Saccharomyces cerevisiae S288C: one gene and its partners. The protein of the gene in region 1 binds, or shares a complex with, the protein of each later gene. Each region holds a gene or a part of one and is shown in the gene's direction. Other genes may lie near its edges.

Region 1 (5,764 bases):
TAACTGAACAAACTGAGAATTTGACTCCAATCTGTTATGGTTGTGAGGCTGTAGAGGTCAGAGTAGACCATTTGGCTAATTACTCTGCTGATTTCGTGAGTAAACAGTTATCTATATTGCGTAAAGCCACTGACAGTATTCCTATCATTTTTACTGTGCGAACCATGAAGCAAGGTGGCAACTTTCCTGATGAAGAGTTCAAAACCTTGAGAGAGCTATACGATATTGCCTTGAAGAATGGTGTTGAATTCCTTGACTTAGAACTAACTTTACCTACTGATATCCAATATGAGGTTATTAACAAAAGGGGCAACACCAAGATCATTGGTTCCCATCATGACTTCCAAGGATTATACTCCTGGGACGACGCTGAATGGGAAAACAGATTCAATCAAGCGTTAACTCTTGATGTGGATGTTGTAAAATTTGTGGGTACGGCTGTTAATTTCGAAGATAATTTGAGACTGGAACACTTTAGGGATACACACAAGAATAAGCCTTTAATTGCAGTTAATATGACTTCTAAAGGTAGCATTTCTCGTGTTTTGAATAATGTTTTAACACCTGTGACATCAGATTTATTGCCTAACTCCGCTGCCCCTGGCCAATTGACAGTAGCACAAATTAACAAGATGTATACATCTATGGGAGGTATCGAGCCTAAGGAACTGTTTGTTGTTGGAAAGCCAATTGGCCACTCTAGATCGCCAATTTTACATAACACTGGCTATGAAATTTTAGGTTTACCTCACAAGTTCGATAAATTTGAAACTGAATCCGCACAATTGGTGAAAGAAAAACTTTTGGACGGAAACAAGAACTTTGGCGGTGCTGCAGTCACAATTCCTCTGAAATTAGATATAATGCAGTACATGGATGAATTGACTGATGCTGCTAAAGTTATTGGTGCTGTAAACACAGTTATACCATTGGGTAACAAGAAGTTTAAGGGTGATAATACCGACTGGTTAGGTATCCGTAATGCCTTAATTAACAATGGCGTTCCCGAATATGTTGGTCATACCGCTGGTTTGGTTATCGGTGCAGGTGGCACTTCTAGAGCCGCCCTTTACGCCTTGCACAGTTTAGGTTGCAAAAAGATCTTCATAATCAACAGGACAACTTCGAAATTGAAGCCATTAATAGAGTCACTTCCATCTGAATTCAACATTATTGGAATAGAGTCCACTAAATCTATAGAAGAGATTAAGGAACACGTTGGCGTTGCTGTCAGCTGTGTACCAGCCGACAAACCATTAGATGACGAACTTTTAAGTAAGCTGGAGAGATTCCTTGTGAAAGGTGCCCATGCTGCTTTTGTACCAACCTTATTGGAAGCCGCATACAAACCAAGCGTTACTCCCGTTATGACAATTTCACAAGACAAATATCAATGGCACGTTGTCCCTGGATCACAAATGTTAGTACACCAAGGTGTAGCTCAGTTTGAAAAGTGGACAGGATTCAAGGGCCCTTTCAAGGCCATTTTTGATGCCGTTACGAAAGAGTAGACAATAATATATCTATCCTTTTTTATATTTTACAATGCTTCTATGATATCTTTACTAAGTATGAGTTGCCAAATAGTCAGTGTGACTGCTTACATACGTTGAATTTCTGTATATTTTTACTAAGTTGCAACAGTTAGATAATTACAAGTTACCCTTACATTCTGTGGGATGTAGTCGAAGAACATCTCAGAGTAGGTCATCAAAAGATGCAAATCAGCTGAGCACCCCACTTTCAAAAACATTGTAAGATATTTGAGGGAAATCGCCTCTGGCCCGTTTATTCACTGAAGAATTAATTATGTGCAGTAGTATAAATGAAGGTCCGTATAATTCGCCCACTTTTGGAAAATCATTATCGTTGAAAGTAGATGGTGGGTTCAATGCCGTATCTATCAATCCCTCTGGTAGGGATATTGTTTTGGCCAGTCGGCAAGGTCTTTATATTATCGACCTGGATGATCCGTTTACACCTCCAAGGTGGTTGCATCATATTACGCCCTGGCAAGTTGCTGATGTACAATGGTCGCCACATCCCGCAAAACCATATTGGATAGTCTCGACATCGAATCAAAAGGCAATCATATGGAACTTAGCAAAATCTTCATCAAATGCCATTGAGTTTGTACTTCATGGGCACTCAAGAGCAATTACAGATATAAACTTCAATCCGCAACATCCGGATGTTTTAGCTACCTGTTCAGTCGATACGTATGTACATGCTTGGGATATGAGAAGTCCACATAGACCATTTTATTCGACAAGTTCATGGAGATCTGCTGCTTCTCAAGTGAAGTGGAATTACAAGGATCCTAACGTCTTGGCATCTTCACATGGAAATGATATATTTGTGTGGGATTTGAGAAAAGGCTCCACTCCCCTCTGTTCTTTGAAAGGCCATGTAAGCTCCGTAAATAGCATAGATTTTAACCGGTTCAAATATTCTGAAATTATGTCGAGTTCGAACGATGGGACGGTGAAGTTTTGGGATTATTCAAAAAGTACGACAGAATCAAAGAGAACTGTAACAACAAATTTTCCAATCTGGAGAGGACGTTACCTTCCTTTTGGAGAAGGTTATTGTATTATGCCAATGGTTGGAGGCAATAACGCAGTTTATCTGATTAATCTATGCGACGATGATGACAGTGAACAAAATAAGAAGACGAAACTCCAGCCAATATATGCATTTAAAGGGCATAGTGACCGAGTAATTGACTTTCTTTGGAGATCAAGACATACGTGCGATGGGGATTACGACGATCGTGAATTTCAATTGGTTACTTGGTCCAAAGACTGCGATTTAAAACTATGGCCAATTTCTGATAGTATTTATGGGAAAGTTAACTTTGACAGAGGCAAGAGACTTGAGGAGAAACTACCAGATTATGATTATTGCTCATACAATAAGGAACCTGAAAATAGGGAAAATGTTCAAAAGAATGAGTTTAGGCGTTTACGAGAAAACTTTGTGACAACTTCTGGATTGAAGAAAAACAAGACAAACCACATAACATGGCTCTCAGGAATTAGAATGAATAGCGCAACTTCACAAGAGGATTTATTCAATGAGACAAAAATCCAAAATTTAGGAGAGGAAGTAAGCGCCATTGGTCACAAGTTCCCAAAAGTCGTTTTTGAAAAGATATCCGTGTCCACAAGGGAATTGTGCCTGACGCTTAATGGCCCCTGGTCAGAGGAAAATCCTGATGATTATATATTCTTACGAATAAGTATTAATTTCCCTCTCAACTATCCAAACAAAGGGGACCCCCCCAAATTCACAATTGAAGAGAATTCAAATTTAACCATGAGTAAGAGACAAGAAATACTTTCCAATTTAGCAACAATTGGTCAAAAGTATACTGACTCAAATCTTTACTGCCTGGAGCCATGTATACGATTTGTTTTAGGTGAGAAGGTTAGCCTGGAGGACATCGAAGAAGGGCAAGAACCCTTATTAAATTTTGATATTGCAGATCACATAGATTTTGAAGAATTATCGTCACTGGATAGTTCATATTCCGATTCTCAAAACCCGGAAAACCTTTCTTCGCAATCAGATATAGAGTCATACAAGGAAGCACTGGTATTCCCAGATACTTCGAATCAAGGTTTGGATTTTGGAAGAAATTTAGCTCTTGATACGACACCTGTTCCAAATGGGTGTGGATCTTGTTGGACTGCAACAGGTGAACTCTTCTGCTTCTTTGCAAATGAGAAAAAACCCGAGAAAAAGCAAAATGCAATAATTAAACTCTCTCAAAAAGAAGCAGGGGTAGAGAAGCATCCTTTTAAAATTGAGCCTCAAGTTTTATATGATAAGGAAGTTGACAGCAGTGTAATCACCGCTGCTGATGAATTGAAAGCTCGCCCTAAGCGGTACGTGGACACCTTGGGGCTGGGAGGCGGTACTAATGGGGATTCAAGAACATACTTTGACGACGAGACATCTTCCGACGATTCATTTGATAGTGTCGCGGACGATTGGGACGATATATTGAGAAATGATATAATAGTGAGAACAAAAATTCCAATACTAAGAGGTAATTTTAAAGCTTTCAGCTCAGTACATTCGGAATCCGGGAAAACAGTAGAATCTACCAAAAAAAATAAGAATTTAGTGATTTCCAAAAATTTCAGCAGTTTATTAAGCGACCGCAAAGAACTAGCATTAGAATACTTATTTATGGATGCCACACCGGAAGGATTTGCTAGAAATAACGCTTTGGTGGCAGAAAAGTTTGACCTTGATGAAATTAGTCATTGTTGGCAAATATTATCTGATATGTTGATAGACCAAAGTGATTACGATCCTTATACTACTATATGGAATAACCATCCCATGGGGATAAAGTGGTTCATAAAGGAAGCGATTGTCTACTTTGAGAGGCAACAAAATTTACAGATGCTGGCCATGTTATGCTGTGTCATATTAAGCGCCAGGAGAAAAAAGATTCCAGCCAGATATTATGGGCAAGAATTAGAGAATATGGAAGGAACCATTGTGTTTAATGACAACGAAAGTCAAAACACATCATTTTGGAAAGGATCTGATGCTTTTTCCACCAGGTCTAGGAGTAGCACTGTTACACCAAATTTTTATGGTAATCATTTGAGAGGAAAAAACATTCATGGAGGAGACAACTCCTCAATAAGGTCCGACGACCACCACGCTAGGTTAAGGACGCACAACACTCTTAATGGTAGTAGTAAATTTACGGAGCCGGCCCAAAAGCAGGGCAGCCGTGCCATTTCATCCAGCCCTTTTCATAGTAGAATGCCTGACATCAAAGTCGAGCTTTTACATGACGATATTATAGAAGCTTATGAACAAGAAGACCTCTTACATTTAGAGGTATCAGACATACCAAAGTTCCAAACTTATATTTATCAATATTCAAAGTTACTTTTTAGATGGGGACTGCCTTTAGAAAGGGTCAAAATTCTAAAAGTTAGTACTGATTTCAGAAGTTCTTATAGTTCCCAAGGCATCCCCCCTAACAATAACAAGAAAAGTCCTTACAATGGTGTACTTACGCACTGGATCGAGAACAACGAGTTTGGAGAAGAAAAATTCCTAGCCCGAAATTGTAATTACTGTGATTTAAGAGTGACAAGAAGTAGCTTCATATGTGGAAATTGTCAACATGTTTTACACTCTTCGTGCGCGAGGATATGGTGGGAGATTGGTGATGAGTGCCCATCTGGATGTGGGTGCAATTGTCCGGAAATGTTCGATGCCTAAAAGCTTAACTATCACGTACATTTTCTGCATATTTCAAAGAACCTTGGATGTATATGAAAAAAAGTTCACAGGATATATGGCTTAATAAGTAGTTTATTTACGATTTTTTAATCCAGTAGAGGCATGATAGAAGACGACAACGGAATCATTGAGCGTTGGAGGCATTTTTACAATGGCTCAGTAATCACGAATAAAAGTAGGTGGAAGTTGAAATCTATTATTACATATTAAAAACTTCAGAAATACTTGAGGCTATATATTGTTGTACACTTAACCAATCGTATAACGGAGCATTGGAACAAGAAAGCTGAGTAGAAAACAGGTTACGAAAGTTGTTTGTTGGCTCATTTGTTCAAAGTCATTAACGAAGCGATAAAAGTAATAATTAATCTTGCACGAACTTCGTTGATATCTTCTGGCACCAACCAAATCAAAGCACCCAACTTTCTAGCAATAGAAATAGCCAATCTTGCGTTTGCGTACCTTTCTTCCTCGGTGTTACCAGGGG
Region 2 (3,046 bases), on another chromosome or scaffold:
ATATTCATATGGCCGAAGAGATCCTGACCACGTCGCTAGAAATAAGCAGAAGGGCACAGGGACCTATAGGTAGAGCGTGCATAGATCTGGGCTTAATAAATCAATACATCACAAACAATATTTCTCAAGCAATTTCGTATTATATGAAAGCTATGAAAACACAAGCTAACAATGGAATCGTAGAATTCCAATTATCCAAATTGGCCACTTCATTCCCTGAAGAAAAAATCGGCGACCCATTTAACTTAATGGAAACTGCCTACTTGAATGGATTCATTCCAGCCATATATGAGTTTGCAGTAATGATCGAATCTGGAATGAACAGTAAGAGTAGTGTGGAAAACACTGCTTACCTGTTCAAAACATTCGTTGACAAAAACGAAGCTATTATGGCACCTAAACTGAGGACAGCATTTGCCGCATTAATCAACGATCGTTCAGAAGTGGCTTTATGGGCTTATTCCCAACTAGCCGAGCAAGGCTACGAGACTGCTCAAGTCTCTGCCGCCTACTTAATGTACCAGTTGCCATATGAGTTTGAGGATCCTCCAAGAACCACAGATCAGAGAAAAACTTTGGCAATTTCCTACTATACAAGAGCGTTTAAACAGGGAAATATAGATGCTGGTGTTGTCGCGGGAGATATCTATTTTCAGATGCAGAATTACAGTAAAGCTATGGCTCTTTATCAGGGTGCAGCTTTGAAGTACTCTATACAGGCTATCTGGAACTTAGGGTACATGCATGAGCATGGGCTAGGTGTAAACAGAGATTTCCATCTTGCTAAACGTTACTACGACCAAGTTTCAGAACACGATCATAGATTTTACTTGGCTTCCAAATTGAGTGTTTTAAAATTACACCTAAAGTCATGGTTGACTTGGATCACCAGAGAAAAAGTAAACTACTGGAAACCTTCCTCGCCACTTAACCCTAACGAAGATACTCAGCACTCGAAGACTTCATGGTACAAGCAATTGACGAAGATTCTACAAAGAATGAGACATAAGGAGGATAGTGACAAAGCTGCGGAAGATTCTCACAAACACAGAACTGTAGTGCAGAATGGAGCTAACCATAGGGGTGACGACCAAGAGGAGGCTTCCGAGATTTTGGGCTTCCAAATGGAGGATCTTGTTACGATGGGATGTATCTTGGGGATATTCCTATTAAGTATATTAATGAGTACACTGGCGGCCCGTAGAGGCTGGAATGTCCGTTTCAATGGAGCACAATTAAATGCAAATGGTAACCGGCAGCAAGAGCAACAACAACAACAACAAGCACAAGGTCCCCCGGGCTGGGACTTCAATGTTCAGATATTCGCCATATGATGTGGTTTGTATAGATATATACATAGACTATCCATAGAAATCACCCACGCATTACCCGAAAGTTTTCAATAAAGCGAACAGCGAGAAGAAAAAAAGCGAAACCGACAGAGAATTACCACCCTAGAGCTTTAACCCCATTGAGATCAACACAATTTCGAACAGTGAAAGTGCATTGGCGAAGGTGATACAATTGGCTTCCAGCTCTGAATAATAATAACTTACAAGCGCAAAGATAACAGATAATTTTATATCAGCATACAAATGGTCGTCATAGCTAATGCGCACAACGAATTAATCCATGACGCTGTTCTAGACTATTATGGGAAGCGCCTTGCAACCTGCTCTTCTGACAAGACAATCAAGATCTTTGAAGTCGAAGGAGAAACACACAAGTTAATAGACACGTTGACTGGCCACGAAGGCCCAGTTTGGCGTGTTGATTGGGCACATCCTAAATTCGGAACCATTTTGGCATCGTGTTCTTATGATGGTAAAGTGTTGATTTGGAAGGAAGAAAACGGTAGATGGTCTCAAATTGCCGTTCATGCTGTCCACTCTGCTTCTGTCAACTCTGTTCAATGGGCTCCTCATGAATATGGCCCCCTACTGCTGGTTGCTTCCTCTGATGGTAAGGTCTCCGTAGTAGAGTTCAAAGAAAACGGTACTACTTCCCCAATAATCATCGATGCTCATGCCATTGGCGTTAACTCTGCTTCTTGGGCTCCAGCTACCATCGAAGAAGATGGTGAACACAACGGTACTAAAGAATCTCGCAAGTTTGTTACTGGGGGTGCTGACAATTTGGTAAAGATTTGGAAGTACAATTCAGATGCCCAAACTTATGTTCTGGAAAGCACCTTAGAAGGTCACAGCGATTGGGTTAGAGACGTAGCATGGTCACCTACTGTTCTTCTACGTTCTTATTTGGCCAGTGTTTCTCAAGATCGCACCTGTATTATTTGGACTCAAGACAATGAACAAGGCCCATGGAAAAAAACTTTATTAAAAGAAGAAAAATTCCCAGATGTTTTATGGAGAGCCAGTTGGTCTTTGTCAGGTAATGTACTAGCTCTTTCCGGTGGCGATAATAAAGTTACTTTATGGAAGGAAAATCTTGAGGGTAAATGGGAACCCGCTGGTGAAGTTCATCAGTGAAGAGTATCAAGAATTTAAAATGAAACATCTCAAAAGAAAAAAGAATGCAAATGAGTCTATCGACGAATTTGAAGGGAAATAAACGCATAATGTACAGTAACGTATAACAATTAAAGATTTGTGGAAGTTTTCAAAAACTTTTCAACTTTTTTCTTTGTTTTTTTTTTGCAACTTCTTATATTAATATTGTCATAGATATTTCTTATACAAAAACAAGCGAACAAAAATAATCGACGTATATACAATAGATATATAAGACTGTTTTTCTTCAATAGAACAGGCGAAATTATTCTACCGGCCGAAGGTACATCTTCCCGCTATGTAATAAATAGAGGTATTTAAGTTATAACAATTATAATTCCCCCATTACGGCAGCAATTAAGTTTTGCACGTCATTAGAGGCGATTTTACCATTCTCCAGTACTTCAGCGTGAGTCGCTTTGCCTTTTTCTAAGGGTACAGGTGATTCGTCCAACGCACTGGCAGGGCTATCCACCACGCAAGTATTGGTAATCAAACTTAAGGCCAAAACCCTCCATCCGCAATGTCTTGCAACA
Region 3 (6,973 bases), on another chromosome or scaffold:
TGCAGTTTGCAAATCAGAAGATATTAAGATGGGGAAAGAAAGATCCTTTAACGCAGGAATTGCGGAATAATCTTGCAAATTCAAATCCACTGTAATCACCAATGGAAGTTTATTAGGAAGAGAATATAGATGGTGGATGGATTTGACCAAAGTAGTTTCATCTGTAAAAACGGTAGTTAAAATGTCCTTAGAGAGTTGATCTTTGATGGTATTCAATGGATCTTGATTGTTCAATAGATGAGTAGCATCTGTGGCAACAGATTCTAGCCCTTTGAAGGATGAATGACTATTTTTTGTGCTAGTAGTGTAGAACACTTTATTTTGGGGAGCACTAGAGGAATATTGCGCCAACAATTGTGGGAGCGTCAAGAGGTCAGAAGCAGTCATTCGCCAATCTTTTGTTTTTCTCTGGTTCCCGTTCCCTACTGTTACTTTATTAGTATATAAGGGATCTGAATAAATATCAAGACGATGGAAAAAAAATAACAAGCAAAGGAACCTTTCTATATCCCAATTTTATTTCACATTAAAAACTATCGTCTTCCAACACTTTATATAACTGCTTGCAGCGGCCAGTAATTCGTCGCATCTCCATGACTCAAATTTTCCAGTGTCTCTTAGCAGTTAAACCATTCCTGCCTCTGTGTGGTGGTAATTGTGGCATTATGAGTTAAGAGATAATACGCACGTGATGAAATTCATTCTGTGAAATATCACGTGGACAAATTATATTACCCGGATTCATAAATCCACGTATTTTACCTGCATCTTTATTGAGTGCTTAGTAAAAGTCAGTTGGTGAAATTCCGCAGATAAAACAGCATATTAGTTGCCTGAAAATAGCCTTATGTGTTGGTTTGATACGTCTTTGTCATTATATACCCAAAGGTTTGTAGTTCATGTTGCGGGTTGGTATGAATAAATTTTTCGTATTTAGTGATTATAATACTTATTACCCATTTCGGCGGCTAATAAGGAATCTGCTAAGATAGGTAAATGTACAATACCATCAATGGCTTCTAAAAGTTTTCAAAGAAGTGGGATAAGGGATGAAAGTTGTGCGTGTGTTGGTTACTTAGGTTCTAATTTGGCTTCAATTTGAAGTGAGATGTTTTGTTTAACATTAGTTTCAAATTAACAGCTTTTGTGAGAAAATATATTTTGGATGAATAGCAGAAAATAGAAATCTGGAAATAAACAAAACAGAGCCAAAATTCTAAGCTTAATAACATGAATATTTGTTTATCTAGCATCTTGTTCCTCCCACTCTTTTTCCGAAAATATGGCTAGCCAACTTAGGTGAATGGGGAAGGGTACTAGATTCATTCATTTATTTCTATTCAAGGACAAGAACTTTTAACATAGTAAGACCTTTATGTTAGTTTGGTGCGGCTGACAAATTCATAGCTAATGTGCTAGAGCTCTTATATTGGTAATTACTAATCCTTCATTGCTATTATGACTATCACATTATAAGGTAATGAAAAATTAAATCATTGTGTACGGATTAAGTCCTTTCTCTAAAAGAGATCACGTGACTATTTGAATCACTATCTATGTTAATCATTATTGTTTAAAAGATAGTAAGTGACAGAACAACGAATTGTTTCTGTAACTACTTTTTAAGCAGGGAAATAACTCAGCACTGACAAGGGACACTTTTTAAGGATGTTCGCTAAATTGCATGGGAAGAAACAAAGACCAATTTCTTCCATCAATTCACAAACTCCAAGGACTAGCAATACTACTCACGCAAATAGCATATCCTTATCATCGGGTAATTTGATAGTAGGTTCCAATAGAAATTTAAGACAAAAGAAAGAGCAGTTTGGTTCTCAACAAAGGGCTTCCGGCAGAAAGCTGATTTCAAATAAGGAAAATGACGATAACGTCAACAATGGTGGTGACAACAATTATGACAATGGGGAACGGGTCCATCGCCATCATATTCCAGGACTGAAAATAAAGGCGTATCAAGCTGAATTAGGCTATCATGAGTCCCGATTTTCCGAGAATTTAGTGATGCTAAATCTAGTTGAGTTCCCGGATATAAAACCTGGTGATTTGGTAGAATTGAAAACATATCACAAAAATCCATCTGCATCGAACGGAGATAAGAAAATTTATTTTATTGCAAAAGATTTTGACGGAGAGACTAAAAGAAGGGCAAAAACATCTAATGTTTCAATACTTTCGGGTCAACTGCAAACTTTGTTAGATTTGCCTTCTAGGTCTAGGATATGGATAAAATTGAAACCAAACAAATTTGACTTACAGGCAGATGTGGTAGAGTTTAATATCAAAGATTGCCTACTAAATAGAGGTGATATGTGGGTTCTATCATCTAAGCTGGTAGATACATGTGTGTTTATGGATCAAAGACTGGCATTCTTAGACTCTATCAGAGGTACTATTAAGGGAATTTATCGAAATGGTAAGAAGATTGTTTCTGGATATATTGGCGAACAAACAAGGATAATTTTTCGGTCCGAATCTGCCAGATTAATTTTTTTGATTCAAATAACTGATGAAATGTGGAACTTCGAAGAAACTGGTGAACAATTATTTCAAAAGATGGTTAATTCATTTTTCCCGAAGATCTTCAAAAAATGGAAAGATGTGGACACCCACCATACTATCACTATAGCCTTCGCTATATCAATGGACTTGTCTGATACATCATTCAAGGACTTAACACCCGGCGAATCTTTGAAAAATTCACAGGATTATTTTAGGATAGTTGTAGATCAAGTCAGTATTATCCATTGGGTTGATATTATGGAAACATTAAGAGAAGAATTTATGGAAATCAGAAAAGATTTATTAAACAAGCAAACGGATAAGGGTTACAGTGTAGCGAATGGAAGATTTTCACCTGTAATCAAGTCGAATTTTCTCGAATTGGTCAATTTTGCCACGACAATTTTAACGGATCCTTTCAAGCAATTAGATCTTCGACACACTACAACGCACGTCATGATTATTTCACCAGGGTCTGGATTATTTGACGTTGATTATAGTTTATTAAGGCTAACAGGAAAAAAACTACTCTCTCTTGAAATGACGATGGATTTAATATGTCTTTCAAAAGCTCCATTGCACATAGTTCCACTTTTTAGGTACCGAGACTTTGAGAACAAGCTTCATCATTGTGTACCGCTTTGGTTAAGTGTTTTCTTTTGGAATGATCATGACAAAAAGAGTAACTCAGAATGGACTCCAAGATGTAAAATTTATGACTTACAAATGATGGGGATTACTGAAAATGAGTTAATTCGGGAAGTGGATGTTGAATATTTACAGCTGAACAAGAAAGTCAAATCACTATCCGAGTTTATGAATGATTACGACAAAAATGCCTTCGAGGTGAAAATTTTATGCGCTGGCTCTAATACGAAACAATCTAAGAAATTAAATTCAAAGTTTGATACCGTCTTCGAGAATGATGTTGTTGTGAAGGCAAGGAAAATCCCGGCAACAGCAACAACAACACACGGTAACACAAAATTCATATGGAGAGGTCCAAAAGTTGCTCTCCCAGCCATTAAGGATATTCAAAAACCAAACGTAATACCAGATCTATCAATAAAAACAATAGAGGCCTCTTTTTATGATGATTGTAATACTACAAATGATAAAATTAGCACTCCCACCACTTCTAACAATGACAATCTCGAAATGAATGACTCATTGGTCTCTGTGAGATCTGCTGATAACCAAAACACATCTTTGGCGCTGGATTCGCTCAAAGGACTAAGCAAAAGGAACTCATTGAAAGATTTTACTCAAAGAGTAATTACAAAATTTATTTCGAACATAGACACAAGTAAAAATAAAAAAATAAAGTCAACATTACTCAGAGATGATGTGGATAACTCACCTTTAGGTTCAAATACACCACTACCATCTTCTGAAAGTAAAATAAGTGGCCTGAAATTACAACAAAAAGGCCTGGCAGATGAAAACGTTATCAGTAAACGTGGAAATTTGATAATAAAGAAAAACCTATCCATTTTTGGGCTACCTAGTAATGAAATCATGAGTGGTTCACCCTCCTCATATTTAGGCTCATCACATACCAGAACATCCTCTAAACTTTCTAATATGTCAGACAAGGCTGCTTTCATTACAGAAGGGCAAAAATCAAAACATGATGACTCGAACACTTATAGCCTCACACAGCAATTGAAACATCGTATAAGTGAAACTTGGGTGGATATTAAAAGTCCTTCCATTCCGGTAAGTAGTGAATTTGCCAACGAATTATTGCCTATACGTTGGAAAGATGTATGGCCAAAATATGTGGCCAGAAAATATAGTAAATGGAGGTCTTTTACAACCCCAGCAGAGTTACCAATCACAATTTCTGATTTTCCATCCAAGGATGATTTTGATAGGAACTTCATCTTCAGAAATCACTCAGTGACTTTAAACACAGATCAAGAACAATATAATCAGACATACAAAGACTTACTTCGTGATATGATTTATATGCGACTGTTAACTGGTTTTCAAATCTGCGTGGGCCGACAAGTAGAAAAAATAGAACTTTCTAGGGAAAGTGGTGAAAGTGAAACTGTAGTCAACAAGTATTTAGATTTCAATCAAAATGATGCGTTCAAACTTTATCTAATGATCGACTCTGAAATACACAGAATAACATGCTCGTCAAGTGGAATTATTGATGTGGAGAGGTATTTGAGAAAAGATGAAGCAAACTTGTTTGATCAGGTTCCTAGTTATATTCCGTTGGTTAAAACGAGATACGAGAGCTCATTTCGTGATGCTATGATTGACCCACTTCATGTTAAAAGAGAATCTTTGAACTGGAATCAAATTGATCAGGTTCTAGCAGGTTATGGCGATAACTTAATAGATAGGAAATGGCACGGATTTCGAGCTAAATATGTGGTGTTACCAACAGATATCCCTCCCAACACATATTCTATGGTTATCAATGGTAAAAGCGAAACTTTAAACCCAGAAGAAATCAGAGTCGAGGGTTTGAGAAGATTAATTGGCTCAATAACGAGGTCAAGACTAAGAACAGAGAAAGAAAAAAAAGGAAGAAAAACTAAGAGAGAAGAAATACAGCCTGAAGTTATGTTTTACACCGGCCCGCTTTACAACTTCATTAATGAGCAACAAACATCTTTAGAAAGCTCGGCTATAAATTTTAAAGATTCAATTTTTGTTAATGATAATAACCTTTTAAACAGAAATGTAGAACTATCCAAGTTGGCGTATCAAATTCAACGTGGCGAAGATCGCATTACTTTAGTCAACAGAAAATGGCACTGGAAAAAGCATGAAAAGTGTTTTGTTGGCTCGGAGATGGTTAATTGGCTCATAAGAAACTTCTCTGATATAGATACTCGAGAAGATGCAATTAAATATGGGCAGAAGGTGATGAAAGAGGGATTATTTGTTCACGTTTTAAATAAGCACAATTTTTTGGACGGGCACTACTTTTACCAGTTCTCACCTGAATACGTAATGGACACTAATAAACTAGAAAAAACAAACTCCCATCGCTCTACATTATCCGATCCAAAGCAGATGTTGAGAAAAGCATCCACTGGTAGCTCAAACGATCCAAGCGCTATGACTCCTTTTTCTTCAGTAGTACCTGCTATAAGCGCTTCGAATGCTTCAGTTGCTGACGCCAAAGAGCCATCACGCCCTATTTTAATGCTGAGTAACTCTCTTGTTATCGATGTTGATCCCGCGGGAAAATCCTCGAAACAAGAATCGTGTACAGTCCATTATGACAGAGTTCATAACCCCGACCACTGTTTTCACATAAGATTGGAATGGTTGACTACCACCCCAAAATTGATCGATGATTTGGTTGGGAACTGGTCAAGGTTATGCGAAAGGTACGGTTTGAAAATGATTGAAATTCCTTGGGAAGAACTTTGTACTATCCCTTCGGTCAATCCATTTCACTCTTTTGTGGAAATTAAGTTAGCTATCAATCCTTGGGAAGATCCTGAGTTCAAGGATAGGGAGCTTTTCGCTAAAAGCAAATTCTACTACCACGTTTATCTTTTAAAGGCATCTGGGTTTTTATTAGACAATAGGGCATCCAAATTTTTACAAAATCAAGATATAGAGTTTGACATCATGTATTCATGGGGCAAACCACAGTTCAAATATGTTCAATATATTCATCATACGGGTGCTTACGTCGCGGAATTGAGGGAAAATGGCTGCCTATTTTTAGCTCCTAACAACATTTATATATCCAGAGTGAATCCGGGAAACATAATCGGGAAAATTCATTCTGCTTCAAGCTCTTCATTAGATGCTCAAAAAGTGATCCTAAATTTCAAATCAACTTGCTTGGACTATCAGAAGTTAAGGTCAATTTTCCTTGACGCAAAGGAAATGTGGATTACAGGAAAGATTGTAGAAGATTGAGTAGCCCCATGACATGGATGAGTTTCTTCACAAAGTAAATAATATTCGAACGTGGATAGTAAAGCATAATGTTATCTATTTATATATAAATATACCTATGTTTTTATATGTCTGTTTACTGATCTAAAGTCTTTGAGCAATCTTGATAACATCACCCAAAACACCAGCGGCAGTAACGGCAGCACCGGCACCGGCACCTTGAATGACAACAGGATTGGTGTAACGCTTAGTCTTGATGGAAATAACGTTATCTGATCCCTTCAATGATGCGAATGGGTGTGAGTAATCGTACTTTTCAATTCCTACAGACACAGATTTGGTGGCAACATCGACTTTACCAATGAATCTCAATACCTTATTTTCAGTGGCAGCTTCCTTCTTCAATTGAGTCAAATCTTTATCGTAATCAGATAATTTTTCCAAGAATTCATCAGCAGACTTGACAGATTCCAATGGTTTTGGAATCAAAGACTGGACAGGGAAGGAAGTTGGAGATTCAACTTCCACACCAGATATCCTACCAACAATGGTAACCTTTCTAGCAACATCC
Region 4 (4,359 bases), on another chromosome or scaffold:
GAATAATAGAGAGCCAATGTAGAAGGTTAAGATACGGAAAACAACTTTTTTGATGGCTCTTGGAACGGATTTTCTGGGGTTTGCAGCTTCACCAGCAGTGATACCAACTAGTTCAGTACCTTGAAATGTGAAGGCAGCGTTAATCAAAGAGGAAACCCAACCTAAGAACCTCCCTTCGTTTTTATCCTTAGATATTATACCTGGACCCCAGGCACCTGGGTTTCTCCAATAACGGAATCCAACTGGGCCGGTAACCCCAGCACCACAAACCATACAAAAACAGTATATTAGAAACCCGATAATGGCTAAAACTTTGATGGAAGCGACCCAGAACTCGAATTCACCGTAATATTTGACAGGGAACAAGTTCATTATTGTGATAATTACCCAAAAAATACTAATCCATGCCGCCAGTGGAACTTTGTACGTCCAAAATTGAATGACTTGGCCAACTACACTAAGTTCCAGGGCAAAAGTGATTGCCCAAGAAAACCAATACATGTAACCATTGGCCGCACCAAATGCTGGAGAAAGGAATCTTTGTGAGAAAACTGTGAAAGAGGATGTAACAGGGATGAATGTAGCCATTTCACCCAAGGACTGCGTGACAGAATATGCCAAAGAACCCATAAATAAATATGATATAAGAGCGCCCACTGGGCCGGCGTTGGTCAGAGGTGTGGATAAACCAATGAAAAGACCTGTACCAATAGTACCACCAAGGGCAATCATACCAATATGTCTTTGCTTAAGCTCTCTCTTCACTTCAGCGTTCTGTACTTCTCCTTCATCTTCATCACCTATGCCATCCTCCATAGAGAACGTATCCTCGCCATTTACTCTCGTCGGGAAAGAGCGCAATGGATACAATTCTTTACTTTTCTCATCTTTCAATGGTATTGACCCACGTCTGTGGTGTGTTTGTGAAGCTTCAACGTCGTGAAAGAGGGTTGTGACCGGCTCATTGTACATATGCTTCTCCTCTATGTCGGCGTCTTCTTTTGAATTTGTCATTGCTATGCCTTTTTTTTTTTTTGTTTTTACAGGAGTTAAGAAGTCTGAAGAACTCTGAAATAAACTTTCGATTGACGACAGATTAAAAACTGGATCCAACTATAAGTATAATAGTAACTTATATATTTCTGTTCCAGATATATACGTAAAAAAAAGAAAAGGATAATTGATGTTTTTGCAAAAAGGGATTCCCTGATTCGGTTTACTCTGTTCGCAACCACTCTTCTTTCTGCTAATTTGTGCTTTATCTCGTATCATTCTCTTATCTACTTATCTTAACCTTATCGTCTTCCTCGAAATTTTCATTGATAGAGACAACTGCAAAAAAAGAAATTCAAAAAAGCCGTATGACTCACCCGGAAACCACACAGAAACCCTAGATTTCTATAGGGCAAATTTCAGGGTTATACTAAAAGATATATTATTGACCTTGGTTATTCTTCAAGTTCGCCCTATTGAAAATTCGGACACTTTAGGGTTTGGAATCTGTTAAAGATATAAGTAAATATGATGATAAAGAAATAGGTTTAATTTATACGCACTTGCCAGTAAGTGATTGATATTGCAGAAGTAACATGAATACGGTTCTGTGGCCTTTGCTGTTTGCCGTTATTTTATTTCTTTTTTTTGTTTTTTTTCTTTTTTTCAGCACTATCAAGGCTAATAAGGGACAAGAGTTCTTACTCAGTGTGAACGTGTTCTAAATAAGTTCTTGTTCTAATTAATTGTAACTATTTTTATGCATTTCTTGTAAGAGGAACTGGAGTAATCGTATCTCGGAAATACATAGAGGTGCGTATTCATAATGGGCCCTCTATCACTTGTTGCCTGTATCTCCGAATAGGACTGATAAGTGATAAAAAAAAAGAAAACTGGGTTAGCTTGAAGCGACTTTCTTTCTCTACTAAAGGGAATGGTCAGATCATCAGGCCAACGGCAAATGCTAAGCTATTTCCAAGGGTTTGTGCCCATACACACAATATTTTACTCCGTGTTCCATCCTACAGAAGGTTCTAAGATTAAATACGAGTTTCCGCCAAATAATTTGAAAAATCATGGTATTAATTTCAACACATTTAAAAACTACATCATACCGAAGCCTATATTATGCCACAAGTTGATCACTTTTAAGTATGGTACATATAGGATTGTATGTTATCCTGTGACAATCAATTCTCCAATATATGCTAGGAATTTTTTTAGTTTTAATTTTGTATTTGTATTCCCATATGATTGTGAGACGTCTCCCTACGAACCAGCTATTACTAGGCTGGGCAAAATGTTCAAAGTTCTTGAAGAACAAAATCAATTGCTATCCAAATCGGAAAGAGATCCAGTTTTCTTCGATTTGAAGGTGTTGGAAAACTCCACAACAACACCCTCCACTGCAGGTCCTTCATCCACGCCAAATCCTAGTAGTAACACCACACCAACTCATCCTACATCCGAAAAGGATACAAAGGATATGAGAAGCAGCAGATACAGTGACCTTATCAAGGATTTGGGCCTTCCGCAATCCGCATTTTCCATACAAGATTTATTGATGAGAATTTTCCAAGACCTGAATAACTATTCCGAATGCCTCATACCAATTGATGAGGGAAATGCAGTAGACATAAAGATTTTTCCGCTGTTGAGACCACCGACAACTTGTGTCTCATTAGAAGATGTGCCCCTGTCGTCTGTAAATTTGAAGAAGATTATTGATGTCAACTGGGATCCAACCATGATGAGTATAGTCCCTTACATTGATGGCTTAAACAGCATTGCCAAAATTTCTAAACTAAGCAACAGTGATCCTGGCCTAGTGATAGAGTGCATACGTCACTTAATATACTATAAGTGTGTTACATTATCAGATATTTTCCAATTTTCTAACATATACGCTCCTTCTTCATTAATTAGGAATTTTTTGACTGATCCACTAATGGCTAGTGACTGTCAATCTTATGTTACGTTCCCAGAAGTGTCTAAAATATCGAACTTGCCCTTAAACAAAAGTCTGGGTTCAGGTGACCAAGACTCACCATCATTTTCTGTACGAAGAAAATCCAAATCATCTAGCATACCGTCAAACCCGGATTCTAGAACTACATCTTTTAGTTCTACCAGTAGAGTTTCTCAAAACTCCTCCTTAAATTCCTCTTTTTCATCAATTTATAAAGACTGGAGGCAATCACAAACCTCCTGCTCGAGTTCAAATATTCATGTCATCAACAATCGTAACCGATTCCTACCAACAAGATCATGCCTATTTGACCTTTATAGGTCACTTTCACAAGGTCAAACGCTGAAAACATGGTATGAGTCGAAATATATGATTTTAAAAGAAAATAACATTGATATAAGAAGGTTCATAACGTTTGGCCTGGAAAAACGTATCATTTACAGGTGCTACTCTTTTCCTGTAATGATAAATGCAGGTTCACGTGAACCAAAAGAAATGACACCAATAATAACAAAAGATTTAGTGAATAATGATAAGTTACTTGAAAAAAGAAATCACAATCATTTGCTTTCAGCCACAGGGTCTAGAAATACGGCACAATCCGGCAACTTGAAACCAGAAAGACCATCAAAGGTTTCATTTGAAATGCAAAGGGTAAGTTCGTTGGCAACAGGCAAAAGTACTATGCCGAAACTCAGCGACGAAGAAGAAGGTATTCTTGAAGAGTCTATTAGGAATGCCGAAACATTTGATAAAATTTGCGTTTTACTGAGCAAGCCTAAATTAGAAGTCGAAAGCTACCTAAACGAATTAGGAGAATTTAAGGTAATTAATAGCTGAGTTAAAATTAGAGAAATTCATTGTCCATCAAAATGTTTTTTTTTTTTTTTAATATTACAACTTATTTCCGTAAATAAAGATAGTACACACGAATCCAAACGTTTATATAGTTAGCTCTGTGAAAATTTGATTTAGGTTCATCTCTTGGTGTGTTTGGTAGAGGTGGTTTCACACCCTTCTCTTCTGTCTTGCCTTCTAATGAATAACTGAGTATTCTTTACATACTTTGTTTTTATTAACCACTAGTTTGAATATATATTCGACTGAAAGGCAATATCAACTATTCAATCTTTAACATTTTTCTCGAGCCCTCATTGTCCACATTTTCACTGGATTTGTTTTCATCTTCAATTGCATGCTTTTTGGGCGATATTACACTTTGCACTGAATTGCTATTTATGTTTGATAACCTTAACGGCATTTTCTTACTTAGATTTGGTATTTCCTTCAATATGTTCTCGATCATTTCGTCTTTGGTAGCGTTTTCCTTGTTACCATAGTTTTTCATTATGTTTTCAATCGTATTATAGATATCATCCACATTAGTTATATGAGAG

The links.
Region 2: the proteins of MTC5 (region 1) and SEC13 are in contact, whole or in part, in a cryo-EM structure (PDB 8ADL), measured with the Saccharomyces cerevisiae proteins. Residues at the interface, in NP_010413.3 of Saccharomyces cerevisiae: Thr616 (codon at 3,655), Thr617 (codon at 3,658), Pro618 (codon at 3,661), Val619 (codon at 3,664), Pro620 (codon at 3,667), Asn621 (codon at 3,670), Gly622 (codon at 3,673), Cys623 (codon at 3,676), Gly624 (codon at 3,679), Ser625 (codon at 3,682), Cys626 (codon at 3,685), Trp627 (codon at 3,688), Thr628 (codon at 3,691), Ala629 (codon at 3,694), Leu633 (codon at 3,706), Phe634 (codon at 3,709), Cys635 (codon at 3,712), Phe636 (codon at 3,715), Phe637 (codon at 3,718), Ala638 (codon at 3,721), Asn639 (codon at 3,724), Lys772 (codon at 4,123), Asn773 (codon at 4,126), Leu774 (codon at 4,129), Val775 (codon at 4,132), Ile776 (codon at 4,135), Ser777 (codon at 4,138), Lys778 (codon at 4,141), Phe780 (codon at 4,147), Leu783 (codon at 4,156); in NP_013309.1 of Saccharomyces cerevisiae: Val2 (codon at 1,599), Val3 (codon at 1,602), Ile4 (codon at 1,605), Ala5 (codon at 1,608), Asn6 (codon at 1,611), Ala7 (codon at 1,614), His8 (codon at 1,617), Asn9 (codon at 1,620), Glu10 (codon at 1,623), Leu11 (codon at 1,626), Ile12 (codon at 1,629), His13 (codon at 1,632), Asp14 (codon at 1,635), Ala15 (codon at 1,638), Val16 (codon at 1,641), Leu17 (codon at 1,644), Asp18 (codon at 1,647), Tyr19 (codon at 1,650), Tyr20 (codon at 1,653), Gly21 (codon at 1,656), Leu24 (codon at 1,665), Val38 (codon at 1,707), Trp57 (codon at 1,764), His63 (codon at 1,782), Tyr75 (codon at 1,818), Ser101 (codon at 1,896), Asn103 (codon at 1,902), His110 (codon at 1,923), Glu111 (codon at 1,926), Ser121 (codon at 1,956).
Region 3: the proteins of MTC5 (region 1) and IML1 are in contact, whole or in part, in a cryo-EM structure (PDB 8ADL), measured with the Saccharomyces cerevisiae proteins. Residues at the interface, in NP_010413.3 of Saccharomyces cerevisiae: His64 (codon at 1,999), Pro67 (codon at 2,008), Trp68 (codon at 2,011), Asn90 (codon at 2,077), Gln91 (codon at 2,080), Lys92 (codon at 2,083), Ile94 (codon at 2,089), Asn104 (codon at 2,119), Ala105 (codon at 2,122), Ile106 (codon at 2,125), Val109 (codon at 2,134), His111 (codon at 2,140), Ser114 (codon at 2,149), Arg115 (codon at 2,152), Asp136 (codon at 2,215), Tyr138 (codon at 2,221), Arg149 (codon at 2,254), Ser153 (codon at 2,266), Thr154 (codon at 2,269), Trp157 (codon at 2,278), Arg158 (codon at 2,281), Arg188 (codon at 2,371), Lys189 (codon at 2,374), Gly190 (codon at 2,377), Ser191 (codon at 2,380), Thr192 (codon at 2,383); in NP_012672.1 of Saccharomyces cerevisiae: Phe292 (codon at 2,542), Gln298 (codon at 2,560), Asp336 (codon at 2,674), Met379 (codon at 2,803), Glu380 (codon at 2,806), Arg382 (codon at 2,812), Lys383 (codon at 2,815), Leu386 (codon at 2,824), Asn387 (codon at 2,827), Tyr394 (codon at 2,848), Ser395 (codon at 2,851), Val396 (codon at 2,854), Ala397 (codon at 2,857), Gln526 (codon at 3,244), Met527 (codon at 3,247), Met528 (codon at 3,250), Gly529 (codon at 3,253), Ile530 (codon at 3,256), Thr531 (codon at 3,259), Asn533 (codon at 3,265), Glu534 (codon at 3,268).
Region 4: the proteins of MTC5 (region 1) and NPR2 are in contact, whole or in part, in a cryo-EM structure (PDB 8AE6), measured with the Saccharomyces cerevisiae proteins. Residues at the interface, in NP_010413.3 of Saccharomyces cerevisiae: Asn28 (codon at 1,891), Arg44 (codon at 1,939), Pro67 (codon at 2,008), Trp68 (codon at 2,011), Gln69 (codon at 2,014), Val70 (codon at 2,017), Ala71 (codon at 2,020), Asn90 (codon at 2,077), Arg115 (codon at 2,152), Ala116 (codon at 2,155), Ile117 (codon at 2,158), Thr118 (codon at 2,161), Val135 (codon at 2,212), Thr137 (codon at 2,218), Arg158 (codon at 2,281), Ser159 (codon at 2,284), Ala160 (codon at 2,287), Ser162 (codon at 2,293), Gly179 (codon at 2,344), Asn180 (codon at 2,347), Ser202 (codon at 2,413), Ser203 (codon at 2,416), Asn222 (codon at 2,473), Trp249 (codon at 2,554), Arg250 (codon at 2,557), Met265 (codon at 2,602), Val266 (codon at 2,605), Arg303 (codon at 2,716), Phe383 (codon at 2,956), Arg384 (codon at 2,959); in NP_010852.4 of Saccharomyces cerevisiae: Gly7 (codon at 1,973), Phe8 (codon at 1,976), Phe31 (codon at 2,045), Pro32 (codon at 2,048), Pro33 (codon at 2,051), Asp199 (codon at 2,549), Met202 (codon at 2,558), Arg203 (codon at 2,561), Gln206 (codon at 2,570), Asn209 (codon at 2,579), Asn210 (codon at 2,582), Tyr211 (codon at 2,585), Ser212 (codon at 2,588), Glu213 (codon at 2,591), Cys214 (codon at 2,594), Leu215 (codon at 2,597), Pro217 (codon at 2,603), Asp219 (codon at 2,609), Glu220 (codon at 2,612), Asp225 (codon at 2,627), Ile226 (codon at 2,630), Lys227 (codon at 2,633), Ile228 (codon at 2,636), Phe229 (codon at 2,639), Pro230 (codon at 2,642), Phe324 (codon at 2,924), Leu325 (codon at 2,927), Thr326 (codon at 2,930), Ala331 (codon at 2,945), Ser332 (codon at 2,948).

Annotation. Positions count from the first base shown.
Region 1 is NC_001136.10:707,740-713,503, forward strand, and holds MTC5 (Mtc5p), read left to right. Parts: upstream 1-1,809; coding exon 1,810-5,256; downstream 5,257-5,764. Other genes in the region: ARO1 (pentafunctional protein ARO1p), read left to right, coding at 1-1,511; SAC6 (fimbrin), read right to left, coding at 5,601-5,764. UniProt on the Saccharomyces cerevisiae protein: Component of the SEA complex which coats the vacuolar membrane and is involved in intracellular trafficking, autophagy, response to nitrogen starvation, and amino acid biogenesis. May be involved in telomere capping.
Region 2 is NC_001144.5:557,956-561,001, forward strand, and holds SEC13 (GTPase-activating protein SEC13), read left to right. Parts: upstream 1-1,595; coding exon 1,596-2,489; downstream 2,490-3,046. Other genes in the region: ubiquitin ligase complex subunit HRD3, read left to right, coding at 1-1,334; PNP1 (purine-nucleoside phosphorylase), read right to left, coding at 2,842-3,046. UniProt on the Saccharomyces cerevisiae protein: Functions as a component of the nuclear pore complex (NPC) and the COPII coat. It is one of 5 proteins constituting the COPII coat, which is involved in anterograde (ER to Golgi) double-membrane transport vesicle formation.
Region 3 is NC_001142.9:682,899-689,871, forward strand, and holds IML1 (GTPase-activating protein IML1), read left to right. Parts: upstream 1-1,668; coding exon 1,669-6,423; downstream 6,424-6,973. Other genes in the region: MET5 (sulfite reductase (NADPH) subunit beta), read right to left, coding at 1-387; HOM6 (homoserine dehydrogenase), read right to left, coding at 6,547-6,973. UniProt on the Saccharomyces cerevisiae protein: Component of the SEA complex which coats the vacuolar membrane and is involved in intracellular trafficking, autophagy, response to nitrogen starvation, and amino acid biogenesis.
Region 4 is NC_001137.3:32,453-36,811, forward strand, and holds NPR2 (nitrogen permease regulating protein NPR2), read left to right. Parts: upstream 1-1,954; coding exon 1,955-3,802; downstream 3,803-4,359. Other genes in the region: arginine permease CAN1, read right to left, coding at 1-1,014; kinesin motor protein CIN8, read right to left, coding at 4,083-4,359. UniProt on the Saccharomyces cerevisiae protein: Component of the SEA complex which coats the vacuolar membrane and is involved in intracellular trafficking, autophagy, response to nitrogen starvation, and amino acid biogenesis. Mediates inactivation of the TORC1 complex in response to amino acid starvation.